Linked DNA regions of Caenorhabditis elegans. The protein of the gene in region 2 purifies or fractionates together with the protein of the main gene of each other region. This does not show direct contact. Each region holds a gene or a part of one and is shown on either strand. Other genes may lie near its edges.

Region 1 (11,169 bases), on a different chromosome or scaffold from region 2:
AGTAACAAATGTTTGAGACAACCAGTTGGCATCCTGAAAAAGTTATCAGATTATTTTTCATTTATTTTAATAGAAAGAACTACTCACATTTTTGTTTGATGATGTCTTGAATGCACGATCCACAATATCATATTTAGTAGTCAGCCAATCTACCGTAACCTGCCCTCGAGCCACAGCTTCTTTTTTCAATTCAACACTTGAACACAGTGTCATATTTCTCACTGCAATACGGGGATCAATAGCCACTGAAACTGCAATATCATCAACAAATGCATATATTTGTCCAGATGCTTTGTTGTATTGTCGACCACGAGCAGTTATATTGCTCAGAAAATATGATAATTTTGTTTTCTGGTTGAGTGATTCTTCATAATCAACTTCCTCATTGTACTATAAATTCAAATTGAAACGTTATAAATTTTATGAAAACTCACTTCTGGTCCTTTCAGGAAGCAAGTATCCCATGGAATCATCGTTGTATGAAGAGATGAAAGAACAATATGTGCAGCCTCAGGATCCATTAGAAAATTGAATTCAGCAGTTGAATTGAATTGAGTATTTCCAACACCAAGATAGTTCCCACCCATTATCACAACCTGTTTAACTCTTTTCGAAATGTCTGGATCTTTCCGAATCGCCATTGCAATATTCGTCAGTGGTCCCAAACCAACTAGTATTATATCTTTGGTTGATTTTGTCAAATTTATAATTGCATCTACTGCATTTCCAACTTGAGCAGAATTGAAATCAGATGGAAGAGTTTTCGGTTCGACATCAGGAACTCCACCAATTCCATCACTACCAAAAAGTTCTTCCCATACTTGAATAGGACCTTTCGGAACCAACGAATCTTGAGCTCCAATGAAAACTGGAACATTGTGCTTCCCAATTGCTCGAAGAAGCCTTGCAACATTCGCAGCTGACTGATTTGCTGTAACTCCTCCATGTACAGTTGTAATGGCAATAACTTCTACATTTTGGTTTGTCAAAGCAATTGTTAATCCACGAATGTCATCATAAACCCCATCGGTGTCTGTAAAAATTTTAAACAAGATTTACATGAAAAATTCTGAAAAAACATGCAGTAATAACTTTTGGAAATCAGTTGTCTTTTATATCAACTTACCAATTATCAGTTTAACTGTAGGACGTGATACACTGCAAATAAATGGAAAAACAAGAAAGAGTTGAATTGATGTTTTGAACATCTGAAACTTCCTAAAATATTCAATTACTTCAGCACTTGAGCAGAGTACAGGAGAATGGTTTTCGTCAATTTTAGCTGAACAACTATTTGTTAGGCGGTTTAACAGTGATTGGGATGTGTTCTTTTGAATTTTTGCAGTGTTTGCTCACTTTTCGCACTCTTCACACAAATAATGCAATTCGTTATTTTCTAGAGTATGTTTTCATGGCAACTGAATAGATGAGAAATTGAATTGAAAATGCAATTGGATTAGTTTGCAACTCTAGTTTACTGCCAGAAGATGCGAAGAGTGGGCCAAAACTATGGTAACTTTCTGTTGAAACTTTTTTATACTTTGAAGTCAACGATATTTTTTTCAGTTTAATTGTGAGGTTGACTATTTACTTTTTCAGGAATTTTGAACAATGAAAAAATGGGGTTTCTCCTGTTTTCAGAGAATTGAGTGTTTCATTGTGAATAAAATCCATAAAATTGCTCCCGTTAGTTATTTTATTAATTGCCATATACATTTTATGGAACAATATACTTTGAAATCATGAAAGACCAAAAATTGAAGCAAAAGCAAGCAGAGGTCCACAATCAATGGTCCATAATGAAAAATGGATCTTGCAACAGATTTGATGAAAGGATTTTGTGAACAACTTTCTTGAAAACGTAACAACGTTGAAATGACGAATGAAAAACTTGTTTTGTTTTTTTTCAGAACCAAGTCTCCAAGTTTTTCTGAACGTTACGCAACTTTGATATCATAAAACCTGCAACGATCTGTGAAAAAACCAACATTTGGGAGTTTCTTCTTTTGTACTGAACACACTTTTAACAGTGAATCGAAATAGTTTATTGACTTATAATCAGTTTTTGGTACAGTTCTCAAATTCCATAACACACTTCGGTTGCACATGAACAGCAAAAATGATCGGAACTTGGACTGTTGTGTTCTGAAAATTAGAGTGGCCTCAAAAGTTTATTTTTTCATTTCAGGAGTAGACTATATATCTGAATCTCGAATTAACTTTAATAGATGTGGATTTACATAGTGTTAAATGATACTTTTTAATTTTAAAGAAGTACCCATATTTTTCATTTTCAGTCCATCATAACACTTATCGTAAAATGTAGATCAAATGCAGAATTCAATTAAATCGTAATGTTTTGTCCTCGAATATACTCTTGTTGAGAAGTCAAAATCCAACTAATAACCTTTTACCTCTAAGCTTCTCTTTCTAGTTTCCGCCGGCGTCAACCACATTTTCACCGAGTGATCTGCATCCATCACATCCGTATTTGGAAGATGACCTCCATTAAATTGAATTTCAAACGATTTCTGAAATACACGCTCATAACTTTCACCAGAATAAAACTCAAATACAGTCTCTCCTGGCTCCATTATGCCAACCGGCGGATTCACTTTGAGCAATGGTCCGAAACTAGTCTCCCAACCAAACTTCATTCGTTTTTGAAAACGATTTGCTACTTCCAAAAACATCGTTTGATCGCGAGTATCATCTTCGAATATTATCTGTTACAAAACGAAACATTGAAAGAAAAATATAAATTGTTTATACCATTTGTTGATCACCTTGCGAAAGTGTTGTCATGATGATAGGTTTTGAAAAGAATTAATAAAAAGCATTTATTGTTGTCGTGGAATAATTTTTAAAAAATTCAAAATCCTAATTATGAACGTGAGATTTTTAAAAGTTAGTAAACCGGTTTTAATCTTTTATCCCTGCGATAATCGAACTGACTGACAGAATCAGACATGTGCTCAGCTTGACGGCTTGTTGAGGTTCTGAAAAATAAAGCAGTAGGTGAGATGAATAAAAAATTATTCTTCAATTTGAAACCAATACCTAAAAAAACTTGGCTTACCTCATTGAATAATTTGCACGAGAATCACTATATTGTGTTGATTGAAGTTCATATTTTTCTGGCAATCGTACATCTTTCCGACCATTTGCATTTTTAGAATTTCGATCTGCTCCTGGTTCTCGATGTTCAACTATCCGAAGATGGCCAAGTTCAACGTATCTAAAATTTTGTTTTCACGGCCTTCCAATATGAAAATAAAAACCTGTTAGCATTTCCAATATGTGCATAATTTGATGCATGAATTCCAAAAAATAAAAGAACTCCAAGAATGATGAGAACACATCCAACCCATCCGATGACATACCAAGAGAATGCTGTGGAGGTAAGTGCACAGAATTGTTGCACATCTCCACCGCACATTCGAAGATTCTGAAATAATTCATTTGTTGACTTTAATTTTCTCAAAATGATAAAGTTGTTGTTCATAAACTTTAGGAAGAATACTCAAAAAAATCCCAAATTTTAACATTTCTCCAATTCAACCTACATATGTAAATGTGGAACTTATTAAATTGCTTTCTTTTGAGAATCCTAAAACTTAATACTCACCGAGTTGGCAAAGGACGAAACTAATGGCCAGAAAACATGAAGATCTATACAGTCACCATCTGTATATCCTGGAAGATTCATGCAGAGCCGATCGAAGAAATAATAAAATATACAAAGCCAAGATACAATTGAAATAATGAATAGCCATGCAATTATCTGAAAGTTAGTTTTAAAATTATACGTTTACTGAGCAATTCTTACTAGAAAGAAATCGATCAACATTGCGATGACGCATGCAAATTTTCCACCACAGCGAGCTTCATCGTCTGAAAATATTGTACATAAGTTCTCCTAGATCATTGTCATTTTGAACCTTTATACATAGTTTCTCTTGTTCCTCCAGTTGCAGTAAATCCGATGCATAAGAAGAAAAGTGAGAATAGTCCCATTAAAACTGCGATTACAATAAAGAAAACTTGAACCTTGTCAAGCCATGGCCAATCATTTATTTTCAGAGATCTTCTGACTTGCTCTGCAGTTGCATTAAATGCCCAGGACATCATAATTGCAAAGAGAATAACTCCAAGAATGCATAATAATGATCCAATAAGTGATGCATATGGTATTCGATGAAAACAGTCATCTTCTTCTGCGTCCGCATTCAAATGAACGACGGCGGCGTTCTGCGAACGTCTTTGCGCCGCCTCTTTCGTTGATCTTGACACTATTTTGACAGTTTGAAAAATATTATTTCAGATGAAAAATAAGAAACAAATGTAGCCGTGGAATAATTGTAATAAGCAAGTGCAAGCGGGCACCGGGGCAACAAAAAGGTATGTATGAGTGTGTTTGTTTGTATTGCGATCGAAATTGGAAACGGACGCGGAAAGGTGAGATAGTGGGTTGGGAACAAATTTAAATATTGAGACGCAGACAGCTCGCCACGGATGGTCAGTTTTAGCGGAGGAAAGCAGAAAGAGGAGAAGATGATGGTGAGTCATGTTTGCATGATCTTCGATGAGAATGTCGCAAGGTGCCATTTGAAAGTTGGAACAACTCATGTATGACGCAATTTTACATTTCCTCTGGGTGACTTGTGGTGTTATTTTCAATTTATTGAATCAGTAGGAAACACACACATTTTAAAATGAATGTGCATGCAATTGTGATGTACGATGAGCTGCAATCATGAACATCTGGGAAAAAGAGTTGAAGAATACAAAGGAGTCTGCTGCCGTTTCATTGAACACTTTTCAGCGGCACCTGCCAACCGGATATACATTGAGAATTTTTTTGAAAGTGGAAATATGAATATATACAGGTTACTGTTTTCTGAGAAATGGTTAAATTTTGTTAAAATTATATTCAGGAGTTCTTTTTTTCAAAGAACTTCTTAACTTTTTCATATATGGTGACATGGGTTTATCTATCACACAGCCTGAACGCGGTCTTCACAATTGATTTTTTGAGCATTTTTAGGTGGCATTAACTGTAGATGACCTCGTTTTCATCACCTCTCGCAAGCCCTTTTGAGTTTGAGAAAAGCTTATTGAGACTTATGTACTAATATCAAATATTATTCGCAGTAGAATTTGAGCGCTAAATAAATGAGTTGGTGTTTGTGCTCAGTTTACTTCACAATTTGCAAAAACGAAATACATATAAACACAGACTACACAAACTTGTTTGTCCCCTTTTTTACCAATTTGCTCGCCCTCTTATCTATGTCCTACGGTGTAAATTGGAAAACAGACTATCTTATCATTCTGAAAAACGATTTAACTTTAACATACATGTTACCTCATTTTTCTGCAGCGTTCTTCTTGAAAATGGCACGGTTTTTCCTTTTTTTGGCGTTTGTGGAAGTTAATTCTATTATTTCACCTCCTAATGAAATTATCGAAACATCTGTGGAAGTATTCAATCAGTGGAAAGAAACTAGAAATGCGTTTATGGATTCAATGGGTTAGTTTATTAATCGTTCCATCTAACCCTTCAAGTTCCGTGTTACAGAGTACCCAATGGGCTTTCCAAACTTCAATTGTCCCCAACCTCATCGAAAATCTTCCGAATCTGTACATCAGCTTCATCCATCACAAATTGGAGTGATAGCAGCACTAGGCGATTCTGTGTCAGTTGCACAAGCGGCGAAATCATCGTCAATTCTCGATTTATTTGATCAGTTTCCTGGTGTTTCGTTTGTAACAGGAGATGATGTAAAGCTGAATGAGCAAGCCACCTTTATTAGTAATAATTCGTTTTGACTTTCACTTACTTGCAACAGAAGCTTTTCAGATATTTTCCGTAAATTTGCACCGCGAATAAAAGGAGGATCCTCTGATTTTGTTCAAAAGTTTTACGACTTTAACATGGCGATTCCTGGCTCATTCAGCTCGGAGCTTCCCGAACAAGCGCTCAAATTAGCAAGTACATTGAAGAAAAAGCTGGGTAGAGAAACATCTGATACATGGAAATTCGTTAATATTTTCATCGGTCATAATGACTTGTGTAACATTTGCAATAATGAGGTAAAATAACCATTTCACATCGGAGCTAATTTTCATTTCCATTAAAAAATATTTCAGACTACCTTCGGGCCTGAAACATTTGGAAAGTCACTTCACTCGGCACTTACAATAATTCAAACAAATGTTCCAAAGGTATTCGTTAACATAATGCCACCAATAAATGTCAAAATTCACTCACAAGCTCACAAGTTGAGTAAGTTCTGCGAGTTTTCACATAGGTTTGTTTTTCAAAATTAAAAAAAAAATTAAACATATAATTACAGAAAAACATGCTCGTGTATTTTTGAATTAAATGAAAAAGAATATCAAAACATCAAGAAACAATTCGATGAACAATTGAATGAAGTTGTAGAACAATTCAATCAAAAATATGGAAATTCATCTACATTTGCTGTTGTGATTGCTCCAGCCATGGATCTAAAATCAATTCCGTTACTTAAAAACCAGCCGAATATTGGACTATTGGCACTCGATTGCTTCCATCTTTCTCCAATTGCTCATGATATTGCTGCGAAACAAATTTGGAAAGGATTGTTCGAACCAATTGATCAAAAAACAATCACTAATCAATTATCAGTTGGATTCGATAGATTCGTGTGTCCTCCTGTTGAATGTCCGTACCTAAGAACGATTCAAAACTCTGAAAACTGTGAGCCATCAAGAGAAATGAGATTTCTCCGAGTTCCTTCAGCTTTTGCAAGCTCTCCTGGTTTAAGCATGCCTCCATACATGATTCCTGTATTTTTCCTTTTTGGTGAGTTTGGTCTGGGAAAAAATACGTTGCTTATTTTTTTGTGAGGCGGCTTAGATTAAAAGCAGCTGCTATAATAATCAATAAAACCACTTTTCAAATATTTTCATTGGGAGAAAGTTTCCGTTTTCGCTTTTTCAGAGATAAGAGATATAAAATAAAGGGGCACCAATAAACATATTTTCTCAAAAACGCTAGACGCTAATTGCCTGCCCTCAAGGCACCTACGCCTGCGTCTTGTGTACTACCAAATTTGAACTTTTTCACTTTTGAAGATTATGTAAACATACTATAAGAAAAACGGTTTAAAAATATATCAAAAATACTCTGCACGGTGAAAAAATCTAACACCTGAGTTCAAGCTAAAGTTCAAGAAAAAAGGCATAGATGTAGGCAGGTAGATATTCTGTCACTTATGACTAAAAATATGTCTTAGCATTATTCAACTTTTTATATAAACCGAAAATATTTTGTTCCTAGGTACCGCTCTAATACTCCTATTTGTTCGTGCTTCCATCCGCAGTTCTACGACGTCTTCCGAGTTTTCCGATGAACGACATCATCTACTTCTTCCGCTGCGTGCCGACCTCAATGACAACATTTTCTAAATGGTTTCTAAAATGTACTCATGCCACTTGATGAGACAGTTGCGTGAACGATGAGAACGTCTAGATTTCCACTTTTTATAACAACTACCAGCACCCTTCTTACTCTTCCTAATGATGTCACACCTATGCGGGTTTTATTTCGAATGGCGTAATGCATTCTATCTCACTACATCCATTAATGTTGCCTACTGTATTTATTGTTTTGTGTAGACTACATATCAGTCCCTAGTGTAGTATCATAATGAAATGGCAAAGAGGAAATAAATGGAAGTGTGTCTGTATGTACATATATATCTCCAAAAAGCGATTCATTCAGAAAGAGACAGAATCGAAATTGAGAGAATGAAGAGGAGAAGGAAACCCGATTGTGATTACGTAACCGAGTTTCTTTCAGAATCAATCATAGTGGACAGAGGTGATAAGATAAATTGAGGTAAAAAGATCCGATGGACATGAGAACCAGAGATTTATTATTACGTCATCTAAAGTTCAAAATGGCTTTAAGAAGTTAGGATACTCGATCATAAAATGTTCTTATTAGGTGACACACATTTAGAATAATGAGTCCGATCATATATAGTCAGATATTCTCTTAGTTTTCCTCATGTTTCCATCAACTTTAGTGAAATTTTCCGAAGAAATCAAATCTGAGCCCCTGAAATTTCCATCAGAAACTGTTTCAGTACATTTTTTGCTGAATTCGGTATTGTTAGATTTTATTTTTTTAAATCTTTACAGATCATTTTTCCAAATAGTATGAGATTGTTTTTCTGGAACTCCAAATATTCAATCCTCAGGCTATGCATAGATTTCTAGGTTTGCTAGAGTTGATTGAGAAGTTGCGGCGAATTGTCGAGATTTCAGACCAATTATTAATTTTTCATTCAATACCGAAAAGTCTACGCAGCTTTTCAGTTTTTCTAGAAATTACAAGATCCATTGTTGTGGACTTGTATGTTCATCTAAAAAGACAATGTCAGCCACAGTCGGTCCATTCTATATATCCAATTTATCTACTAAAGGAACTCGTTTTTTTATTTATCTTTTGCTTTTCTTTTTTGCTTCGTCCTTTTTCAAAAGGCTTTTCCTTTCCTGTGGCGGCGGCGGCGGGCGGCCAAAACATCTGTGGCGTCGTGCCCTCGTCGATTGCGCAATGCTTCATCTTCATATCCTCTCAGCTTTTTCTTCATCTTCTGGAGACGGGTTTAGCGGTGTCGCGCCGTTTCGTCACGTTGTGTCGTCAGGGTGTCATGACTCGAGAGAGAAAATGAAAGAGGAAGGCATGTAATTGTTTGTGATGGGATATGCAATTGCCAATCAAAAAGGTTAGCGCCTTGAAAGTGAAAGATGTCTCACCGGAATAACCGCTTCATCTATGTATTCCGTTTATTCAAACTATTTCAAACAAAACAATTGCGAAGGTCATGACCATCAAACTCTTCATCATTGTAATTCAATTGAAATTAAGAAAATTGAAACGAAACTCCCAAACCACAATCAACTAGTAGTGTTCTTGGCAAGTGTGACCATAAAGATGTACAACACCTAGTATATTCTTAATTAACAATCACGGCATCTTTCCCCTTGTCTTTCAAAGCAGCTTCACACCAGTCTCTGTGTCGCCTAGATTATACTAGAAATTACACATTTTGCCCACGCACCGTTACAGAGAGAGAGGCCCGTCGACCTTTTCCAGTGTTCCTCTCCCTCCGCCTTCTCTCTTCCAAAATCTTCTTCACCAGCTTCTCCCGCTCCACGTCTTGGCCACGCCCCATTCGGCTTTAGTTAGCAGTGCTGGGCTGCCCACTAAGATCCGGTCTTGCTAGTCTATACCTTCTTACCTTTCCATTTTCTCTCTATCTACCATTATTATGATCTACCGATTTGTGGCAACTGTTGCCATATTGGCAGCCAACGGTGAGCTCTAAGTTCTATTATAGGTTAATGTAGAAAGTTTAGTTTCAACCCATAGTTTCAGTTATCCACTGAAAACACGAATATATTGCATTTCTAGTACCACTACCATTTTCAAAATTTGAAAATTATATATTGTCTTTCTGTTCCGCACCCCATCACTCAAACTTGAAAGTTTTTTTTCCGTTAGACTTGAAAATATCCGTAATCTTTCTAGAATGAAACTAGAATAACAGATAATGAATTTATGTCAGTTGACAGATTTAAAAAATTCTGATATAGCTGCCACATGGTGCAAGACTCATAGTTAAATACGGTAGCATATTTCCCAAAAACATTACCATCATAATTGTCAAGAAAATATTCAGTTTGAAACTTAAAAAAAACGTTTTTTAAAATTTAATTTCAGCTCACTGTCAATACTATCAATGGCCAGAACAACATCAACAATTTAATAATTTCAACGGATTCCCGCAATTCCAACAGCAACAGTTTCAACAACCACAGCAGTTCCAGCAGCAACCACAATTCCAGCAACAACAACAAAATTATCAGCAATTCCTAGCTCAACAACAGTACCAACCACAATTCCAAGCTCAGCAACAGCCTCAGCAACCACAATATTTCCAACCACAGCAACAGCAGCAGCCTGTACAGTACCAACAACAGCAACCACAGCAACCACTTCAATATCAGCAGCAACCACAACCAGCTCCACCACCAATCTACTCACAAACTGTTGTTATCCCACAAGCTCCACCCCCACCACCAGAGGCTTATCAGCAACAACAATATGGTCCATCTCAGCAGAATCCAGTAATGGTTCAACCAGCCGATATCCCAAGATATCATCAGAAGCCTCAGCCAGTTCCACAAGTACCAGATGTTGCATTCCAACATGTGAATACTGCTAGAAGTGTTCAACAAGTCGATTTTGATAATAAATTGTTCCGAGAGCAACCAAATTCATTCACTCAAAACCAAGAAAAGGTAATTATGGCACAAAATTGATTTTATGCACCAAGTCAAAAAAGTTTCCTCCAAACTTTAATTTAATTTTGTTTAAAACTATTATTTTGCCAAACAGGATGTTTTGGATATGATTGAGAAGTTCGAACCATTAGTTCAAAACCTGGAAATCAAAAAATACGACACCAACTATCCCTCCTTATTCACAGATTTTCATTAAGTTAAAAAAGTTTATTTCAAATGTTCTTTGTTGATTCCTCTGATTCCCTTATTTATCTTATGTTGCAGATCACTCTGCTCGCCCAACCACCACCACCTCCGGCACCTCCAGCACAGACTCAGGCACCACTTGTACGTGCATGTTTCAATATTTCATCTATATCACTCACTTCACTGTCCTTGTCGATCCTCATCATTTTCAGATCCGTGTCCCTCCGCCGCCAGCCAGATTCATTCCAACTTTAAAATCTCTGTACAGTATTGATCCTCCACGTCCAAAGGTCCTTATTTTAGTTTTGTGATTTCATTTCTTTAACCAATTGTAACCATTCTCCAGAATCCATCTTACAAACCCGATGAAATTATTGTCGATGGTCATCGATCTTATTTTGAGGATACACAAAGAACAAGACCACAGGTATTATTTTATTTTAATTTCCTTAATTTTTATTATCCTTTTGTCGTTCTCGTCCATATTAATCATGTCAAATGTTACAGTTTTCAATTAAAATAATAATAACAGTAATCATCGGATTTTTCAATTTTTAGTCTACCAAGACCCGTGTTCAATCAGTAGGAGGAAGCGTTCATTCAAGTTCTGCCAATATTCCA
Region 2 (10,634 bases):
TCGATTTTCTGATTTTTTTTTAATTAAAAAAAATCGAAAAATCCCAAAATTTCAGCTCATTTCTCTATTTCTTTAATGAAATTTTTCATATATTCGATTTTCTTTAAAAATCTCTGAAAAAACGGAAATTTTTGAAATTTTAACGATCTAGAAAATATTTTTTACTGTTTCGATTCCCATATATATGGGAAATATTTGCTTCTCGATTTTAAAATTTTCTGTTTTTAAAAATTTTTTTAAAGAACCGACTCTCTGATAAATGGAATTATTTTTTCGAATTTTCGTTTAAAAAAAAAAAGAAAATTTTAAATTTCCAGCTCATTTCCGTATATTTCAATGAAATTTTTTCAAATATTCGATATTTCTCGAAAATCTCAAAAAAAGCGGAAATCTTTTCTAGAGAATCTTTTTTTAAATTAATTTAAGCAAAAAACACGTTTTTTTTATGTTCGAAAAAAACTAAAAATTATTTCCAATAATTTCCAGATTTTTTTAAATAATTTTTTTTGAATTTTTAATTTTCAAAAAAACAATTGAAAATAAATATTCACCTCGATTAGAAGTTTTCGATGGATTTTTCTCGAAAAACTTTGTCAATTTCGAAGTTTTTTGGCGATTTCTTGCCGGACTCGGCGTAGTGAATGCCAGTGTGAAATCGAGTTGCTCAGGCTTCTTTTGATGTTGCTCATTGTGCTTTTTCGATGGTTTCTGAATATTTTCAACTTCAAGACTTTCAATCGAATCCCGTTTTTTCTTGCTTCCACGTTTTGGTTCGTGTGTTGTGTGTAATCCAAATTCTCGTGATCCTTTATCAATTCGACGGGCTTTGAATAGATAATCGTCCATTCGAATTTGTTTTACGTATGGTTTCCGGGGACGGTTACGGTAGCGCTGGAAATACAGAAAATTTGGAATTTTTCAGAAACTTTTTATGAGATTTGGACCGTTTTGATAATTTGCTCTAAATATTAGAAATTTTAGCCATATTGTTTCAACAAAAAATATTAAAATTGAGCGATTTTTTAAAAAATTTTTTTTAAATAATTTTTTTACAAGTTTCAGGTTAATTTTTTTCAAATCCAATTTTATTGACGCGCAAAATTGTTTAGAACTTTGAATTTCTGCTAAAAATACGAATTTTTTGAGCTTTTATTTTCTCTGTAAATTCTGTGAGTTTTGAATTTTTGCAGAATTTGTAGCAAGAAGGTTTTTAGGAATTGGATTTTTCAAGAAAAATCGGTCTTTTTTTTGATTTTTTTTTTCAAAGAATTTGAAGCATTTTTTATAGTTTATTTTAATTTTTTTAACGTAAAGAAAAATTTTAAATCAGAAAACTTGAAAATTTGAAAAATTAAGAATTTTTTGAGTTTTTTCAACCAATTTTAAGAAAAAATGAATGAATATCAAAAGTTTGATGCAATTTTTTCCGAAAAATTTTTAAAATTCAAATTTTAATGAATTTTCAAAATCAGAGTTTAAATTTAAAGGCGCACGCATTTTGTTCAAATGGGTCTCGTCGCGATTTTTTTATAAGTCAAAACTCTAATTTTCAATGGAAAACTTTTTTTCTAGATTTTTATCTTAAATTCCGGGATTTTATAGAAAAAATCCCATTAATCACCTCGATATCATCAGGTGATAAAAAATCATCCATAATCGGCTGATGCGCCGGTTTGGAGTTGAAAATCGGGAATTTTTCTCCAATTTTCTTCTCTTTTTTCACTTTTTTCGGCGGTTTTTCCCTATCCGTTGTTGTGCTCAATTCTTGTGAAGAATGTGTTGAGGATACTATTGCCAGAATTGATTCATCATTTTCTTCATAATTTCCAAAATTTGATGTAGACGGTCCAAAAATATCGATTGATGGCTGGGGGTACTGTAGCTCGGGATCCAAAGCATTTCTGATGGCTCGGGCGATGCTGTCCGACTGAAATTTTGAGAAAATTGAAAAAAAAACCTTTTTTTTTTTCAAAAACTGCAATTTTAAGACAAAATATTCACATTTGCGCGTAAAATATGGTGTAATATTAGTGGTGTTTGCACAACTTCTAATTGCGTACTTAATACACCATATTTGACGCGCAAATTTTTGGAAAAATTGATTTATTGTTTTAGCATACTCAAAACTTCAATTTTCTAAAAGATTTTTTGAAAAAAAACGAGTTTCAGGCGAAAATTATCGCATTTTTCTGCATAAAACTCGAAAAACATTGAAATTTTCAGGTTTTCTGTATTTTCAGCAATGTTTTGATGAAATTGTTCGATTTTCAACAATATTCTGCAAAAATTGACAAAGGCAGTCATTTATATACAAAAATTTGAGCAAACTCTGCCAGTTTTTCTATGTTTTTTCCAATTTCTCAAGAATTCTCCTTGAAAAGCTGGAAAAACCTCTGAAGTTCGAGCTTTTCCGGATTTTTTCGCATAATTACCTCTCCAGTGGATCTTCGTTTCGGTGTTGGCTCAAATGGATCCACAGATTGCATAAATGAGTCAAAACTTGAATTTGCCACGTGGCTACCGTAATATCTGTCCATTTTTTGGGATTCCTGGAAGGGAAACTGATGATCTGTGCGGAAATTGTTAATAAAATAGAAATGAACTGGTAAATTGGCAACCAGAATTACAAAACGATTTAAATTTCACGATTTAAATTCAAGATTTAAGTTTATTCAATTTATTCAACAGAAAAATAAATAATAAATCATTTTAAAATAGATGTTTAACATTTAAATTAATTTTGTACAAGTTTCCTCTTGTGACCACGTAGATACTCTGCAAAAATAAACATTTTCCGCTTTAATTGAGCTGAAATTCAGGAAACATTGAAAATAAAATTCAAAAAAATGATTTCTCTCAAAACTTCTCTGGCGCCCTCTTATCTCTGCGCCGTGTCAGCGAGCGCGTTTGCAGCGGGAAATTTAAGATTAAATATATTTAAATCAAAGCTTTGATCAAAGTCGAAATGGTTTGTGGTAAATAATATATATTTATCGATTAAAATCAAGAATAAATTCTAATAAATAACTTCGGCATTTTTTTGGCTCGAGCAACGGAAACCACGCGGCAAAAAATAAGTTTAAAATTACAGTACTCATTAAAGGTGCGTACCTCTTCGCATTAAACAAAAGATTTACCGTATTTTAGCGCAAAAATACAAAGAAAAAATCAAAACTAACATTTAAAACGATGCAATTTTAAGGAGATCTCCGATACTTGAATCAATCGGCTTCCAAACAAACATCTTCAAATACTTGTTAGTTGCAAACTCATCACACACAACAATAATTGCGTAGGTACCATCGCTCCTTTGGATTCCAAATCCCTCGTTTTTCACCTCTCTGTGTGAGTCCTTCCATACATCCACAGCTGCTTCGAACTCCAGTTTTTGGTCGACGTCCAGTTTTTTGTATTTAATACCACTTAAGGCATTCTGAATAAATTCTTCCTTCTGAAAATTTTGAGGAAGACGCATATGGAATAATTCCAGCCGTTCAGTTGATCCATTGATCCAATGTTTTAGAAATATGCATAGATCTGTTAGGGGCAATGGTTCATGAATAAGTATTTGAGAAGTATTTGAAACGAGTAAGTCTTCTAGTTTAAAAGTGCTTCTTGTTTCTAAATGTTTGAAGTTGAGGCCCACAAGTGACTGGAAATCTCGAGTTTCCCAAGTAATTTGCTCTAAAGTTAGAAAATCGAATCGTCTTGCAAAATGTTTCAGTGAGCTCCTAGTCGCGAGGTGTAAAAGTTGAATATTCAAATTATTGAATTCTTCTAGATAATCGTAGTCGATATGCTTAATAAATAGCTTATGAATAGTTGCTTGATGGAATATTGTAAGAATTTGATCTATAAACTCCCGCAAACTGATTCCTGTCATTACTTTTTCACCGTGCACTCGAATCAAATTCCTTCCTTCAGATTGTGTCACAGACAATTTCAAATTGAGATCTTCCATATTATAAGTGAAGATATCAAATTGTATTGTCCCAGAAATTGTTATATAAAAATATATGAGCTTCATATTCAACGATTCAACAGCATGTTTGGCAGTTTTTGAATAAAACGATATCCTCACTCTGAAAACTTGTTTCTACTTATAAGAATATTTATGTTTCCAGTTGGGAAAAAAATGCACTCACAAATCTTGCACCTCCATAGTTTTCAGCAATAAACGTAGTGGTTTATGCGGTAATCGAAAAATTGGAAAACCTCTCATCATGGTTGTAAGAAGAATGAATAAGAAAATGAATGACTTGGTGAACCAACAGGTTATTGATTAGGAAAAAGATAATGGGTACTACATACGTTATAGATGTACACTGGTCCTGACCACTCCAACTAATACACAGGCAGGCATGGGGTCAGAGATATGAACATTAACCACATCTAAATAAAAAATTCTGGAGGTACATTTGGCAGAAGAAACTCTAACAGTCTTCCACAATTGAAAAATGTTATTTATAAAAATTATAAATATCATAACATTTGCAAAATGCAGGGCATAACCGGACAAACTCACGTGGTGTCAGGCTGTCCCATTACGGTTTGATCTACAAATTTTTGTACAGAAAACCGTAACGTCAGCGCTTCTCGTAGATCAAACCGAAATGGGACACTCTGACACCAATTGAAAACTCTGGGAAATATGATATTTTATCCTGTTAGAGCGAGAGCAACACCACTCATAATGATATTCCCAAAGTTTTAGATAATACTCAGGCAACTCAAATCTTATATGAAAATATTAAATAGCAATATTTTTGTAGTTGGGTGATATTTCAAGATAAAATCGCAATATTCCGAGACTTATTCGAAATCTTTTTAGATTGAGCAATCTTTTGAGAATATTTCGCAATATTTTGAGATCAAATTGTAATATTTTGAGACAATCGAAATCTATTCGAAATTTTTAGTAATATTATATGGACGCACTATTTCTCGTATTTACTACAAAAATATTGCTATTTAATATTTTCATATTAGATTTGAGTTGCCTGAGTATTTTATTCCATACACCTACTGTTGTAGGAGTAGAACCTGCGTTGCTCAATTTTTTTTTGAACATTTCAATTTCAAATTTTGGAAAATGATTGTCACCCACAACAGGGATGGGTGGCAATTGCAGTTCGGCAACTTGCCGGTTTGCCGAATTTGCCGGAAATTTTCAATTTCAGCAATTGTTGTACGTGTCGTTTGCCGGAAAAATCTTTTTTTTCCAAAAAAAAAAACACCCAAAAGAATCATTAAAATTTTACGATTTCACATAAAAAAATTTCAAAATCAAAATACGTGATATTCACGGACAGAAAAAAAGAGGTAAGAGATCACATAATTAGATCCTAGAGAAGATGAACGCGACACAGCCAATTTGAATACGTGCTCCGTGCTCCAGTTTCAGGATTCCACAGCGAACGAGTTCACCGGTGCTCTCTTGGCGCGAAATTTGTAGATCAGAATGTTTTTGGCATCGACATTTGATATGTGGAGGGATGATTGTTGAGGAACCTGCAAAAATTAAATTTTTTTCAATAAGTAATGGATCCTTTTTATGAAGAATATCCCAAAAATTCGTAATTTTTTAGAATTTTATCAGAAAAAAAACCTAAAAATTGTAGATTTTTTGGCATTTTTTTAAAGGAAAATTGAAAAAAAATCAAAAAAATTCGGAATTTCAGAATTTTATCAGGAAAAATAATTTAATTTGGAAAAAAAGCCTAGAAATTGTAGATATTTTTGCATTAAAACAAATAAAATCAAAAAATTCGGATTTTCAGAATTTTCTCAGAAAAAATTGATTTTAATATGCCTTAAAAACCCTAAAAATTGTAGATTTTTTTAGTATTTTTCACCAAAAAAATTGAGTTTTTGGAATTTTTCGGAAAAAAAATTAAAATTTCCACATTTTCCGCACTCCTCAATTTTTTATTATCCATTTTGTAGACGGAGTTTCCAATCCCCGCCCATTTCTTGGCATTTCCAATACCTCGAGTTCTCAATTTCTCAGCTGCCTCAAACGGTGTCAGCCGCGGTCTTCGTACCGCCCGTCCATCCACAAAAACCGCTTCAGTGCCGAGTGTCGAAATATAAAAATTATCCGAATAATAATCGCGAACAATATCACAATGATAATCTGCAAGCACCGAGCACCACGCATCGCCCGTCAATTTATCACATCGTACGTGGCAATCATGGGCGGTGCCGAGTTTTGTGACACATCTTTGAATGGCAATTGGAAGATGCACCGCCGGCAGTCGTAGATCGCCATCCTCGAGATCCAATCGTGCCAGGACCCGTTGAGTCGGTAGGAAATATCGTTGATCGTATGGGATTAGAGACGAGAGACGGGCTGCCACACATTGCTCATTGTGCTCTTTCCATTGTTCAGGCGTCCATTTGCTGAGTGCTGCGTCACGATTTCTGAAAATTCATAAATATAAATAAAAATGGCCTAGAAATCAAGGAAAAAGCTCGGCCATGGTCTAGAAATTATAAATGCTAATTTTTCACTGTTTTTCTGTTTTAAAAAATTAATTAAAGGTGCTTTCAAAGTTACTATCGTGGCCTAGAAACTGCAAAAGAAAAACTCGGCCCCTGGAATTACTGGATTACAAAGAAAAAACGTGGCCTAGAAAAACCTCAGCCACTGAAAATTTTAAAAAGGAATTTAAGGAAACTCAAAACCCCGGCCACCATTCACAAAATTCTGATCGTGGCCTAGAAAACCTTATGGAAAAATTCGGCAACTATTGAATTTTTGAAATTGGAGCAGTTTTGACAAACATGGCCTAGGACTCAAAATTAAAAAAAAAAAGTGGATTTGCTTTCTAGAAATATAACATGGGCCATCAATTTTTTTAAAACTTTTTTTGAATTAGGATGGCCTAGAAAATGAGAAAACTCGGCCATCATCAGTGTTTGCGTATTTTCAAAGCTACAGTAACCGGAATAGTGCAAAATTGAGCTAAATTCATCAATTTTTTTATTTGTCGGAAATTCTGAAAATTCGGAATTCGAACTTAAAATACACAACATTTCGAAAACTGTGGGCCGTGGCCTAGGCAATCCAGTTGAAAACATCGGCCACTGCTCAATTTGGCCAAGTTTTTGCAGCCATGGCCTAGAAAAATCTAGAACTCAGCCACTATATTAAAATTGGCCAAAATATGCTGCCATGGCCTAGAAAATGGGAAAATTCGGCCATAATCAGTTTTCGAGGCTACAGTAACCGGAATAGTGCAAAATTGAACTAAATTCATCTAGTTTTTTGCGGGAAATTCTGAAATTCCGGGATTCGAACCTAAAATACTCGTCCTTCGCCTGCTCGAAACCCCGATCCATCATCATTTTCGTGTATTTCAGTTTTATTTCTTTAATCTCATCTCTCAGCTGTTTCGTCACAGGTTGGTTCAACAATTCCGCAGATTCGTTAGCATCTGATGCTGTCGAGTGCCGTCTTGATCCTCCTCCATCATCCATTGATCCTCTGCTAGATCGACTACCACGTGGCCGTCCACCACCACGGCCACGGCCACGTCCAACCGGTTGTGGATTCCGTTTTCTCTGCTGCTTCGGAATTGTGGTGTCTCCCTCCTTCCGATTTCTTGATCCAACTGGTCGACCGCGTTTTCGAGGAGCATCCGAGAAATTGTCATAGTAGACGGCGGGAGGTGGTGGAATTGGCGGTGGAGTCTGTGGAGATGCAAATTCTGCGGAATAAAGATTTTCTTGGTATTCTTCATAGGTAATCAGTTTCTCCACCTCCACCACCGGTTGATTTTCCTCATCCGAGTCGTGAGTTTGGTAGAGAGAAGAATAATTGTGCTCCAGGTGCATTTGATGGCAATCCTCACGGCGTATGAAATTTTGAAGGGCGCTCTGGAATTTGTTTCCGTTTTTTTTTTGAATTTTTTTTTGGATTTTGCAACAAAAAAAACGGAAAAAATTATTGTTTTTTTCGGGAAAAAAGATTATATTTTTAAAAACTATATCGGTTTTTTTCTTGGGTTTTTTCACAAAAAAAAAATCGAAGAGTTCTCAATTTTTTGAAATTAAAAAAAAATGATTTTTTAAAATTACTTTTGTGTTTTTTTTTTCGATTTATCGGAAATATTTTTCTCTTTAAAATCGTTTTCTTAATACTTAAATCTAGAATTTTCCCAATTTGCAAAAAATGTTTTTTATTTTTTTTTTTTGACATTTTTTCCGAAATTTGTTGGGAAAAAAACTCTAATTTTTAACAATTTTTGTAAACTTTTTTCCTTAAAAAAAATAAATTTTTTTGTTGATAAATCCAATCAACAAAGTTTTATCGATTTTTTCAGATTTTCCGATTTTTAACCGCAAATTTTTTAATTTTTATTTCGAAAAAAAGAAACTAAAAGTCACTAGCTCAAAATAAGAAATTCCTGGATTACGGTAGCCTGAAGAAAACGGAAACACACTGATTGCGTACTTCCCAAGCTACCGTAAACCAGCGAAATCCAAAATCAAGCTAGAAACTTCTAGTTTTCCGGTTCCCAAGCCAAAATATTACGGAGATTCCGAATTTTCAATCAAAATTTGCTCGAAAACTCTCACCCGAACCAACGGCCAAATGATTCGATCGACAAGATCGGATTCACTTTTCGTTCGACGTAAATCCAATGGTAAATCATCGGATTCTCCGTAATATCCTTCAGCCTCGTATACTGTTTCGGCTTTTTCGTGAATTTCGGGCATTTCAAGTGAAGAAAAATCAAATGGATCCGATTTTTCCGTAATAGTGGCTGCTGGAGGCGGCATGTTTTCTGAAATATTACATTTTATTTTCATTTTTTAAAGTATTTTATGCGCTTTTTCACATCATTATTTTTGAAAATTTGGGTCGTGGCCTAGAAAATCTAGTTGAAAAACTCGGCCACTGTTGAATTTTTTGAAATGGCCTAGAAACCCTAAAAACTCGGCCATTAATTATGGCATATTGGTCATGGCCTAGAAAATCCGGGTGAAAAATTCGGCCATTGCTGAACTTTATAAAATAACGTCTTTGTTGACCGTCATGGCGTAGAAAACTCAAAAATTCGGTCACTTATTACGAAATATTGGTCGTGGCCTAGAAAACGAAAAAACTCGGCCACTATTGAATTTTATGTTAAAAAAAATCGACAGCTTTACGGGCATGGCCTAGAAAACTCAAAAATTCGGCCACTAAATACGAAATTGTTGTCGTGGCCTAGAAAATTCAGTTGAAAAACTCGGCCATTGCTGAGTTTTGTGAAATGGCCTAGAAAACCACAAAAAAATCGGCTCCTAATACAAGATATTGGTAGTGGCCTAGGAAATTCAGTTGAAAAATTCGGCCACTGTTGAATTTTATGTAAAAAATCGACAGTTTTGACGAGCATGGCCTAGAAAACTCAAAAATTCGGCCACTAAATACGAAATTATGGTGATGGCCTAGAAAATCCGGTTGAAAAACTAGGCCATTGCTGAATTATTGGTTTTTGTTCAATTTTGTTTTCTAAAAACACCGAATCATGGAGAAAAATGGCAGATTTTTAGACCACCAGTTCTAGAAAACTCTTCCACAATCGAAAAACCTCGGCCATCAAGTACCTTCGATAAACTCGAGGGGTCCAGTGTCATTGTTATAGACAATTGAAGAAGTCGCTGTGGATTCTCGTCTCATTCGTGCTTCATTCTCTTCATCTTCCTCTTCCACCACTTCTTCCTTGACTTCCGCCTCAACAGACGGAGCTTCAGAAGAGCTGGAACTAGGCGGAGCCTGTTTTGAAGCCCCTGACGCCGCCCATTTCCTGGTCAGTGCACAAATGGGCTCTTTCGACCAAATCGTCATACTTGGCACAAAATAAGTGTCCCTGTCCTCTGGGCTCTCAAAACTCGGCTCATAAGCCAGAAGCACCAAATTCTCCAACTGTTCGGGCTCCGCGTGATACTCGTAGACGCCTGCACCCTCGTGAGCCTCTTTCTGTGAGTTGAGCACAACTTCTCGCAGAGTTTTCTGATTGAGCACGTTCCGAGCAGTGACGGGCGGTGCACAACGACGATAGAATGCTTCGGTGCCGATTGAGTTGAAGTGGCGTTCGGTGGAGTCTGTGCCGAGCCCAACGTGTTGAATGAGCACTTCTACGTCGGCTTTCAGCTTTTTTCGATAGGGTTTCTCGTTTTGTGAGATTATTGATTGGGTTCCACCGCCGCGAATCGTTTCCACCGGATCCAGATCTTCGCGCATTAGTTTTATTAGTTCTGAAAATTTAATTTTAAAAGTGGAGTAGTGTCAAAAATTTTATGCTTTAAATAGATAGAAAATATACCCAAGTAACCGAATATTACTGTAAAAAAATTCTTTAAAAAATTCTAAATTTTTTAAATGATTTTTTCAATTTTTCAAAATTCAAAGAAACGGCCGAATTAAATTTGAATTTCCCGCGCAAATTAGTGACGTCACTTTTGTTATTTTCTCGTTTTCTCGCTAAACTTACAGTTTTTCTTGACTTTTTCTTTTAAATTTGATTTAATACACAGTTTGTCAATATTTCAAACACTTTTCCGTGAAGAAAACTCGATCACTCAAAAGAATTCGGCCGAAATTTTTAAATTAGCCTAAAAATCGGCAATTCAATATTTCT
Region 3 (11,121 bases), on a different chromosome or scaffold from region 2:
AAATGCAAAGTTTTAGGTTAAAATATGAAAATATGTTGAAAATTGAATTTTAGCATAACTTTCATCATATAATCACCCAAAACCTCCAAAAAAGTGGCAAAACTGCTGAAAACTGTAATTCCCGTTAGAAAAATCATAAAATCTTCTAGTTTTCAGCTAAAAATCCCCAAAAACCCCATCTAAAAATGTTCGAATTTCACATTTCCCCCCAAAAAAATTGGAAAATAATTGAAAATTGAGTTTTCTGATAGAAAAATCGTTAATTTTGAGCCGAAACCTCAAAAAATGGGAATTCTTTGTGCAAAAATTGTCAAAACTGCTGAATATTGCAATTCCTGTCAGAAGACTCGTAAAACTTGGATTTTTTACGAGTCTTCTGACAGGAATTACAATTTTCAGCAGTTTTGCCAATTTAATTCCCATTTTTTGGTGATTTCGGCTCAAAATTAACGATTTTTTTATTAGAAAACTCAATTTTCAACTATTTTCCAATTTTTTGGCGGAAAATGTGATTTGAACATTTTTAGATGGGGGTTTTTGGGGATTTTTAGCTGAAAACTAGAAGATTTTATGATTTTTCTAACGGGAATTACAATTTTCAGCAGTTTTGCCTTTTTTTTTGAAGGTTTTGGGTGATTTTGTGATGAAAGTGATGCTTAAATTCAATTTTCAACATATTTTCATATTTTAACCTAAAAAATTGCATTTTCCGGAAGTTCAATGTGAATTTTGGCTGAAAAATATGCTAAAATCGAGTTTTTAACTATTTTTTTCAACAGATTATTGATTTTCCCGACAGAAATCTGATTTTTCACAATTTGTACGAACAAAAAAAAAACGCATTTTTGCAAGTTTTTGGCTGACAATTGGAATTTTTATTGATTTTTCCATCTGGATATAAAATTTTCAGATTTTTCCAATTTTTCTCCCTGAAAAACCATATTTTTGAGCATTTTTTCTAGGAAATCATATAAGTTTTTCCTAGTTTTTGACTGAACATACGCATTTTCAGGTTTTTTTGAAGCAATTTTTCTGGTTTTTATCAAAAAATCCCGAATCTTCAGCCATTTTCCTACAAACCTACCAAAGTAGATCACACATGATACCCTCATCTGGTGGCTGACGATTTCTGTCAGTTTTTCGAATATCTTCCAGTGTTACACCGTCTTCTTTGAATAATCCACCATGGCACACCTGGAAAAATACCAAAAATTAGCAGCGCCCAGAAAATTAGCAGCGACCAAAAAATTAGCAGCGCCCAAAAAATTAGCAGCGACCAAAAAATTAGCAGCGACCAAAAAATTAGCAGCGACCAAAAAATTAGCAGCGACCAAATAATTAGCAGCGACCAAAAAATTAGCAGCGACCAAATAATTAGCAGCGACCAAAAAATTAGCAGCGCCCAAATAATTAGCAGCGACCAAATAATTAGCAGCGACCAAAAAATTAGCAGCGCCCAAAAAATTAGCAGCGACCAGAAAATTAGCAGCGACCAGAAAATTAGCAGCGCCCAAAAATTAGCAGCGCCCAAAAAATTAGCAGCGACCAGAAAATTAGCAGCGCCCAAAAATTAGCAGCGACCAAAAAATTAGCAGCGACCAAAAAATTAGCAGCGCCCAGAAAATTAGCAGCGACCAGAAAATTAGCAGCGCCCAAAAATTAGCAGCGCCCAAAAAATTAGCAGCGACCAGAAAATTAGCAGCGACCAAATAATTAGCAGCGACCAAAAAATTAGCAGCGCCCAAAAATTAGCAGCGCCCAGAAAATTAGCAGCAACCAAAAAATTAGCAGCGCCCAAAAATTAGCAGCGCCCAAAAAATTAGCAGCGACCAGAAAATTAGCAGCGACCAGAAAATTAGCAGCGCCCAAAAATTAGCAGCGCCCAAAAAATTAGCAGCGACCAGAAAATTAGCAGCGCCCAAAAATTAGCAGCGCCCAAAAAATTAGCAGCGACCAGAAAATTAGCAGCGACCAAATAATTAGCAGCGACCAAATAATTAGCAGCGACCAAAAAATTAGCAGCGCCCAAAAAATTAGCAGCGACCAAATAATTAGCAGCGACCAAAAAATTAGCAGCGCCCAAAAAATTAGCAGCGACCAAATAATTAGCAGCGACCAAAAAATTAGCAGCGCCCAAAAAATTAGCAGCGCCCAGAAAATTAGCAGCGCCCAAAAATTTAGCAGCGCCCAAAAATTTAGCAGCGACCAAAAAAATTAGCAGCGCCCAGAAAATTAGCAGCGACCAGAAAATTAGCAGCGACCAGAAAATTAGCAGCGACCAAAAAAATTAGCAGCGCCCAGAAAATTAGCAGCGACCAAATAATTAGCAGCGACCAAAAAATTAGCAGCGACCAAATAATTAGCAGCGCCCAAAAAATTAGCAGCGACCAAATAATTAGCAGTGACCAAAAAATTAGCAGCGACCAAATAATTAGCAGCGACCAAAAAATTAGCAGCGACCAAATAATTAGCAGCGCCCAAAAAATTAGCAGCGACCAAATAATTAGCAGTGACCAAAAAATTAGCAGCGTCCAGAAAATTAGCAGCGCCCAGAAATGAAAAATCCAGGATTTCAGCGATTTCTGGGCCATTTTCCTCAAATTTTCCAGATTTCCAGGCCATTTTTCACGTGAAGAAACTCACAAAAATCTTCTCATTAATCAAATGGCACAATGGTAACCAGCAGAACGTCTCCGTAAACATATCACACATTTGTTGAGTATATTTCGCCTTAACTTCACCCTCAAATCCGTACATTTTATTCATGACGTCAGATTCGTGATTTCCACGTGACATAAAGAAATGATTTGGGTATAGAAGTTTGAAGCCAATCATTGTGAAAATTGTTTCAACGGAAAATGAGCCACGATCCACGAAATCACCGTTGAAAAGCTGAAAATTTGGCCATTTTTTGAGCATTTTTCACATATTTTAAGTGAAAATTTGGCCATTTTCGGGGGTTTTTGGGGTGAAAATTAGGTGTTTTCGTGATTTTTAGAGTCAAAATTTGGTAATTTTTGTGGTATTTCTGCAATTTCAGCAAAAAATTGAAATTTTTTCAAGTTTTTTGATGAAAAATTGCCAATTTTTGGTGAAAATCAGGATTTTTTAAAATGAATTTTAGCCAAAATTTCGAGCATTAAAAAAGAGCATTTTTCAGCTTTTTAGTGAAAAAAAAATATTTTGCATTGATTTTTAAGTCAAAATTTCGAAATTTTGATGGTTTTTTGTAGAAAATTCGACTTTTTCAAGATTTTTGACAAAATTTTGGCTTTCAGGCGGTTTTTAGTAAAAAAATCGAGCATTTTTCATAAATTTAAAGTCAAAAATTGGCAATTTTTTTGCTTTTTGCTAAAAATTCGGAATTTTTCAATGACTTCTGCCAAAACTTTGAAAAAAAAAATCATTTCAGGGTTTTTATCTGAAAATCCGCATTTTTGGTGAAAATTCCTCAATTTTCAGCTGTTTTGGTTTTAATGTTTGAAATTTTTTCACGAATTTCAATCAAAATGTCGATTTATTGAGCTTATTTCAATAATTTCTGCAAAAAAATTCAATTTTTAGAGGTTTTTCACTAGAAAACATGATTATATCACAAAATTTGCCTATTTTCATGATTTTCGGTCAAAAATTGGAAATTTTTATGAATTTTAGCTCAAAATTCCTCAATTTTCCCGGATTTTCAGTCAAAATCTCTCATTTTTCAGCGCTTTCCCCGTACATATGGATTAGTCTCCGATGGATATCCATTAATCTCGAAAATATTGCACAAATCGTAGAATTGTCCGTGAACATCACCGCAAATCGTGAATTTCTTGCCAGTTGGCACCGTAATTTCAACCATTGTTGGCAGTGATTTGACATAATTATAAAACTCGAGGAGCATCTTGAACGCGTACTTTTTGTGCAATTTTTGCTGATTTTTGAACGTTTTGATGAGTTGCAACACGAATTCCTTGGTTATCTGAAAAGGATTTTGATCATTTTTGCGGTTTTTTACGGAAAAAACGGGAAAAAACTCAATTTTTCGCTTTTTTTTAACGAAAAATTCACTTTTTTTCTGTATTTTTTGCGGAAAATCGATTTTTAGACTAAATTTCTATGAAAAAAAAATGATTTTCAGGCGAATTTTTCGTGAAAAATTGACTTTTGGACTAAATTTCTATGAAAAATAGATTTTTGGACCAATTTTTTAATGAAAATTCCAGAAAATCCAAAAAAGATTGGAAATTTGCACGTTTTCTGACCGGAAATGCTAGTTTTTTTTTGTGAAAAATCGATTTTTGGGTTAAAATTGCAGTGAAAAATAGATTTTCAAATTAATTTTTATGAAAAATAGTTTCAGGACCACTTTTCCCTTGAAAAATCGATTTTTTGGACTAATTTTCGCAAAAAAATTCGAATTTCTGGCCTATTACCCTTGAAAAACGTATTTTTAGATCGATTTTCACAAAAATTTATGTTTTTGGACCGTTTTTTAGATCAAATTTCTATGAAAAATTGATTTTTACATCAGTTTTCCACCGAAAATCGCAATTTCCGCTCTGAAAATTGAATTTCGGGGTCAAAATTGCCGGTTTTACATCAATTTTCCGTCTAAAAATCGATTTTCACAGCCATTTTCCACCCGTACTTTATCTTCCAGCCGTGGACCATCATACGAATCCTCAATAGCCATTGCATTAATATCAAGAGTCTCGGCGACGGTTTTCTTGTCGTGATCCGTCGAAATTGCGGCTTCAAACTTCTGTCGGCGGACGATTTTCGAGCATTCGTCGAATTTTGCGCGAGCGTCTTTGTCGTTGGGGCAAACCTGCAAAAAAATGGAAATTTTTTCGGGGAAAAATACGGGAATTTTTGAAATTATACTAAATTTGAGAGAAAAATTATCAAAAATCACGTTTTTCTCATAAAAATTGGTTTTTTTTTTCATAAATATCGATTTCTTTTCAATTTTTTCGGCCGAAAGCTGTCAGCAGCGCCCAAAATTGAATTAGCAGCGCCCAAAACTTGTAGTTTGTAGTTTAAGCAGCGCCCAAAATTAAATTAGCAGCGCCCAAAATATTGTAGTTTGTAGTCTAACAGCGCCCAAAATTGAATTAGCAGCGCCCAAAACTTGTAGTTTGTAGTCTAAGCAGCGCCCAAAATTGAATTAGCAGCGCCCAAAATCTTGTAGTTTGTAGTCTAAGCAGCGCCCAAAATATTGTAGTTTGTAGTCTAAGCAGCGCCCAAAATTGAATTAGCAGCGCCCAAAATCTTGTAGTTTGTAGTCTTAGCAGCGCCCAAAATTGAAAAAGCAAAATTTCAAATTTTTCGCGTTTTCCGACTTTCTGGAGGTGAAAATTGATATATTTTTTCGAAATTTTCTCTTAAACCGGGTGAAAAATAGTTTCTAAACCGCCGTTTTTTCCGCTCTTCAACACCCAAAAAAAGTGAATTTTCACCTTAACAACCGCCTGATAATCGGTCAACGCCTTTTTAAACCGCCCCAGAGCCATATTGGCGGTAGCTCTTCTATAGAATCCCTTCACATATGACGGATCAATTGCAATCGCGTTGTCCGCATCCTCAAGAGCACTTCCGTAGAGCTCTTTCTTCAGATAGGCCTGTGCACGGTTTCCGTAAAGAACCGCCGTCGGATGAATCTCAATTGCGACAGAGTAGAGGTCGGCGGCCACGTCGTACACTTGATCTGCAGCAGGAAAATACTTTAAAATTCATCAAAAAATCGGTTTTTTTCCAAAAAATACCCTTAAAAAACTGATTAGCTTCATCTTTAATCATTCCAGCCTTCTCCTTCTCATCTTCGTACGACTTTTCCTCAATTGACTCCAAAACTGTCGCCACAATGTCATCTGTTATAGTGGCAGCCATTTCGGAGCCTGAAAATTTAGATTTTATTTTTTTTTTTCTTTTTTTTCTCTTTTTTTTTAGCGAAAAAAACCGAATTTCGGAGCGGTTTCCCTAAAATTTAACCGTGTTTTTCGAAATGTTGAGCCTGAAATTCACAAAAAACACAAAAAATGCAAGAAAATCGATAGAAAATGAAGAATTTTGGGACAATTTCCGGTTGGACGGGGTTTTTTTTTTTTGCACAATTGCTCTTGTGTGTGGATTTACGGTAAACAACACGCGGTGGGAGGTGAGCGGAGTGTCGTTGTGTTTGGGTTTTTATTGGATTTTAAGGGTTTTTCGATGATTTCAAAGGTTTTTTACAGGGGAAAAATAAATAATAGCATGAAAACGTTGATTTTTTCATATTTTCGTAAAAAATTTACAGAAAAAAAGCTTAAAAATCGCTTGATTTCGGCAATTTTGACAAAAAATTTCTTGTTTGGATTTACGGTAAACTACACGCGTGGCCGGGATTTCGGAGCAACGTTGTCACTTTTTTTTTTTTTTTCATTTTATTTCTGGAATTTTCGCTATTTTACTCATTTTTCGACTAAATTTTCAATTTTCCGATGTCAAAATTCGGTGGAGCAACTGCAAAAGTCATAAAAGGCGCGCTAAAAGTCCGACAAACGAGGTAATTCTGAATTTTCCCGGAAATCTGCCAATTTTCACCCCGAAAAAGTTTCAGAGCGGCTCTCACACTTACCAACGAAGCCGTCAGCAGAATACGCGTGTTATTGGCTCAACAGAATGATGCAAATGCGTTGAAAGTTCGTTTTTTCCGTCGATTTTTCGATTTTTCGATTTTTGCGCCGCCGGAAATGATGAAATTTTTAATTTTTTCAGATCGGAGTTCGACAAAAAGGCTGTAATGGGTTAACATATACACTGGAATATGCAAAGGATAAGCAGAAATTTGACGAGGAAGTTGAGCAGGTAGAAATTGCCTCAAAATCTGGATTTTTAGCTCAAATTTATCACAAAAAACCCGGATTTTCACTAATTTCGATGAAAAATCCCCCAATTTTTCCCATTTTCCAGGACGGAATCAAAGTGTGGATCGAACCAAAAGCTCAGCTCTCGCTACTCGGCTCAGAAATGGATTACGTCACCGATAAGCTATCGTCGGAATTCGTTTTCCGAAATCCTAATATTAAAGGAACGTGTGGATGCGGAGAATCTTTTAGTATTTGATTTGATGATGATTTGCTACGCTATTTACCATAATTTAGTAGTGATTTCCACGTGTACATTCTAGAAAAAATGCTAATAAATTTGAATATAGTGCAGAAAATTTGGCAATTTTCAGGTGAAAAACATATGAAGTTTGCATGATTAACTTGTTTGGAGAAAAATACAAAAGATACAAAAAAATTCGACCACGCTGGGGGCTCGAACCCCGGAGGTGTGATTGGTAGTCGGCGAAAATCCCACTGCGCCACTTGGACACATTTTTTTGAAAATTCAGAAAAACGATGGAAATTATAAGAAATCACGGTTTTAAGTTAAATTTTAAATTTTTATATGTGAAAAACTCACAAATTTTAGATTTTAAAAAAAATTAAAGTTTAAAATTCAATTTTCACCATGTTCTCGTAGTTTTTGTGTTCTAAAACTTGAAAATTCGGATTCCGCATGGTGGAATTATCCGAAAACCATTTAAAAATCAAAATAAAAATTTTTTACCACAGCGGGGACTCGAACCCCGGAGGTATGATTGGTAGTCGGCGAAAATCCCACTGCACCACTTGGACACAATTTTCGAAAATTCAGAAAAACGATGGAAATTATAAGAAATCACGGTTTTAAGTTAAATTTTAATTTTTTATATGTGAAAAACTCACAAATTTTAGATTTTTAAAAAAATTAAAGTTTAAAATTCAATTTTCATAATGTTCTCGTAGTTTTTGTGTTCTAAAACTTGAAAATTCGGATTCCGCATGGTGGAATTATCCGAAAACCGTTTAAAAATCACAATAAAAAAATTGTGCCACAGTGCGGTCTCGAACCCCGGTCTTGTGATTGGTAGTCGGCGAAAATCCCACTGCGCCACTTGGACAAAATTTTCGAAAATTCAGAAAAACGATGAAAATTATAAGAAATCACGGTTTTAAGTTAAATTTTAAGTTTTTATATGTAAAAAGCTCTAGTTTTAGACTTTTTTAAAATTGAAATTTTGAAACTTAATTTTCACCATTTTCTTGTAGTTTTTGGTTTTCTAACACTTAAAAATTTGGACTCTACGTAGTTGAATTGTCAAAAAACGTTAAAAAACCACTACAAAAATTTTTGACCTCAGCGCGGCCTCGAACCCCGGTCTTGTGATTGGTAGTCGGCGAAAATCCCACTGAGCCACTTGTACCGAACTTTTCAAAAATTCAGAAAAATGATGAAAATTATAAGAAATCACGGTTTTAAGTTAAATTTTAAGTTTTTATATGCGAAAAACTCACAAATTTTTAGATTTTTCATAAATTAAAGTTTTAAAACTCAATTTTCACCTTTTTCTCGTAGTTTTAGTTTGTTCGGCGAAAATCCCACTGAGCCATTTGGACAAAATCTTTGAATTTTTTTGTTTTTTTGTTTTTTTTTAAATAAAACAATTTTCAGAAAAAAGAACGTAAAAATTTATTCACTTTTTGCAATAAAACTTACAGTTAGAATAGCAAAAAAAAAAACCAATAATGTTTGGTGTTTCCAATATATATATATATTTATATAAAAACCCGTAATACATATATCCAACATAAAAATGGGCATCTAGAGAAACGGAGATCATATTTCAAAAAAAAAATCCAAAGAAAGACATGTAAAAATCAATAAATTCAAAAAAAAATTGCAATTTTTTTCACAAAAAAAAAATTTTTTAGAAAATCTTTTTCAATACAATAACCGATGTAGAAAAACTAATAAAAAGACGATAAATATTGATGATGACGTCATTATTGTAGAATTACACCGGTCACCGTAACACGAGCACAGTTGAACATCGCCGAGTGCCGGGGGGTCAGTCTGCCGGGCTGGGTTGAAGAGGGCTGAGCGGGAAAGCGTTCGGCAGTGGTTCTGGAATGTTTTATTAAGAATCACAATAAAAATAAAAATTATTGACCGCAGTGGGACTCGAACTTTGGACCTGTGCGTGGTAAACGCGCCTCTAACATACTGCGCCACTGGGACTCATTTTTAAAACTGTCTAAAAATTGTCGGGACTACAAATATTTTAAGCTTTTAAGCTTTTAGGCTTTAAAAATGTTTTTTAACTCAAAATAAGCCTATTTTGAGGCCTAGAAAATCGATTTTTCAAAATGAGCATTTGGTGTTGTCAAATTCCAAAATTTCAAAAATATCAATATGGGGGTCAAATCAGTAGCAAAATTTATCGCAAATTCAAATTTTTTATCAAATTTGAGCTAACGTCACTTTGAGCCGAGATAGAGCTCGATGAGCATTTTGGGACGTCGATTTCTAAAATTTTGAAGTTGTCGATATGGGGGTCAAATCAGTAGCAAATTTTATGGCGAAATCAAATTTTTTATTTAATTTGAGCTAATGCCTCTTTGAGCCGAGAGATAGAGCTCATTGAGCATTTTGTGTTGACGAGTTCCACACTATTTTCGACCCCAGAAGAACTCACATTCTGATGAAACCGGTGAGTTCGGAGCGCTGATTGGTTAAATCCGTGCCGCAAAACTCGGTCCAAGCATCCTCGGATATGTTTGAAGCCGATAAATACTCCTGGAAAAAATAAAATTAAAAATAATCATTTTTTGAAATTTTTGAAAAAAAAAATTTTTTCAGAATTTTCAAAAATTTCCAAAAAAAATTTTTTTTTTTTGAATTTCTAGCTCATTTATTTCTATTAATCAAAAAACCTTCAAAAAAATGCCTACCAGCTTCCACATCGGGCTCCATCAGCGATACACATACACTTCCACACATTACAGTAGGCATTCCACGTTCACTATTCGGGTCGCGGCATCTGTCGGTGAAGACCTGAAATTTTTAGAATAATCGTCATTTCATACGACTATTTATCAATTTTCATGATGATTGGTTGAAAAAATAAAATAAAAAAATATAGAAAACCAGCCAAATTACGAGGAATTGAAATTTCTTTTTTTTTTTAATTATAACTACAGCCAACGTTTTGAGACCTAATATACAAAAAAATTCGAATTCGGTTTTTTTTGTTGTGAATATTAGTATAATTATGACATATTTACCATATTTTTTGAAAATTGGTAAAAATTCGAAAGTTGCAAAAAAAAATGGCAAATTTTTTTCTTCAATTTTTCGAATTTTCCGATTTTCTCAAAATTCTGAGGTCTGAAAATTTTGAAATTAAAATTTTTGAATTCAGAACATAATTGCGGTCAATTTAAATATAATCATGACATGTTTCTAATAACTTTGAAATTTAGAGAGAGAGTGCAGAGAAACGAGACACTCTCGCTGTCTGCGCCTCTTCGTCAGGTGTTAAAACTGCTGTAACTCGGTTTTTTTCGTGGTAGGACCCATCAAATTTTTTTTTTCAGAATTGGGATTAATGGTTTGGATTAATAAAGTTTTCTATTCTTTTTTAGAAAAAAATTTTTTGAAAATTTTTTTGACAAATTTTTTTTCTAAAAATTTACAAGTTTAACTTTATTCTACACAAACTTTTTTTCAAAATTTCAAAATATTCATATTATTGTCTCTAGAACAGTATGAGCAGAGTTATGACAGTGCTTGATTTTTTAGAAAAAAAAAATACTGAAAAAAATTTTGAAAAAAAAAATTTTTTTTAGCAAATTTTTTAAAAAATCTTTTTCATCGACAGTCAAGCTAAAAACTCACTTTAGGATAAATATACGTAGTTTGTAAGTATTTCCAACTAGTCTGGTAAGACAGCGACATGCACGAGTAACATTCGACTTGTCGTGGGATTGGAGCACCGGCGCCTGCAAGAAAATAATTTTTAGGAGGAGGGAGGCTTGCTGAAATATTTTAATTTTTTTGTTGAAAATATTCTGATTGAATTTTGTAAGAAAAATTAAAAAAAAAATCCAATTTTCAAAAAAAAAATTTTTTTTTTCGAAATTTCAAAAAAAATTTTTTTCAAAATTTCGAAACTTTCTCAGCTATAAATTTTCCATTTTATAATTAACTCTTTACACACTCTAACACATGTCTCAATTCTCCCCATTAACCAATAAAATCCGGTGATTTATCCCCCCAATTCCCCGA

Evidence for each region.
Region 1: the proteins of fbxb-87 (region 2) and F13H8.11 fractionate together in Caenorhabditis elegans (co-fractionation; one large-scale study listed by BioGRID). This does not show direct contact.
Region 3: the proteins of fbxb-87 (region 2) and pph-5 fractionate together in Caenorhabditis elegans (co-fractionation; one large-scale study listed by BioGRID). This does not show direct contact.

What each region holds. Positions count from the first base shown.
Region 1 is NC_003280.10:6,254,184-6,265,352, reverse strand, and holds F13H8.11 (Lipase_GDSL domain-containing protein), read left to right. Parts: upstream 1-5,331; 5' UTR 5,332-5,397; coding exon 5,398-5,533; intron 5,534-5,581; coding exon 5,582-5,815; intron 5,816-5,863; coding exon 5,864-6,096; intron 6,097-6,153; coding exon 6,154-6,314; intron 6,315-6,359; coding exon 6,360-6,850; intron 6,851-7,327; coding exon 7,328-7,455; 3' UTR 7,456-7,740; downstream 7,741-11,169. Other genes in the region: F13H8.3 (Inosine/uridine-preferring nucleoside hydrolase domain-containing protein), read right to left, coding at 1-33, 88-390, 435-1,033, 1,127-1,208; F13H8.12 (MSP domain-containing protein), read right to left, coding at 2,059-2,145, 2,415-2,531, 2,577-2,726, 2,773-2,805; nmgp-1 (Neuronal Membrane GlycoProtein), read right to left, coding at 2,909-2,999, 3,080-3,238, 3,282-3,448, 3,629-3,784, 3,830-3,894, 3,942-4,131; dbd-5 (uncharacterized protein), read left to right, coding at 9,327-9,372, 9,779-10,359, 10,627-10,689, 10,761-10,838, 10,895-10,975, 11,107-11,169.
Region 2 is NC_003281.10:10,888,280-10,898,913, reverse strand, and holds fbxb-87 (F-box domain-containing protein), read right to left. Parts: upstream 4,395-10,634; 5' UTR 4,226-4,394; coding exon 4,146-4,225; intron 4,083-4,145; coding exon 3,182-4,082; 3' UTR 3,180-3,181; intron 2,776-3,179; 3' UTR 2,658-2,775; downstream 1-2,657. Other genes in the region: com-1 (DNA endonuclease activator Ctp1 C-terminal domain-containing protein), read right to left, coding at 552-891, 1,622-1,927, 2,433-2,486; athp-1 (PHD-type domain-containing protein), read right to left, coding at 5,339-5,511, 5,990-6,423, 7,304-7,881, 8,584-8,792, 9,601-10,251.
Region 3 is NC_003283.11:19,185,308-19,196,428, reverse strand, and holds the start of pph-5 (Serine/threonine-protein phosphatase 5), read right to left. Parts: upstream 5,883-11,121; 5' UTR 5,875-5,882; coding exon 5,751-5,874; intron 5,693-5,750; coding exon 5,445-5,692; intron 4,814-5,444; coding exon 4,634-4,813; intron 3,965-4,633; coding exon 3,722-3,964; intron 2,893-3,721; coding exon 2,644-2,892; intron 1,195-2,643; coding exon 1,085-1,194; intron 1-1,084. Other genes in the region: Y39B6A.3 (Iron-sulfur cluster assembly 1 homolog, mitochondrial), read left to right, coding at 6,465-6,529, 6,578-6,665, 6,742-6,831, 6,937-7,089; hot-2 (Homolog of Odr-2 (Two)), read right to left, coding at 8,776-8,958, 9,530-9,630, 9,786-9,888, 10,732-10,835.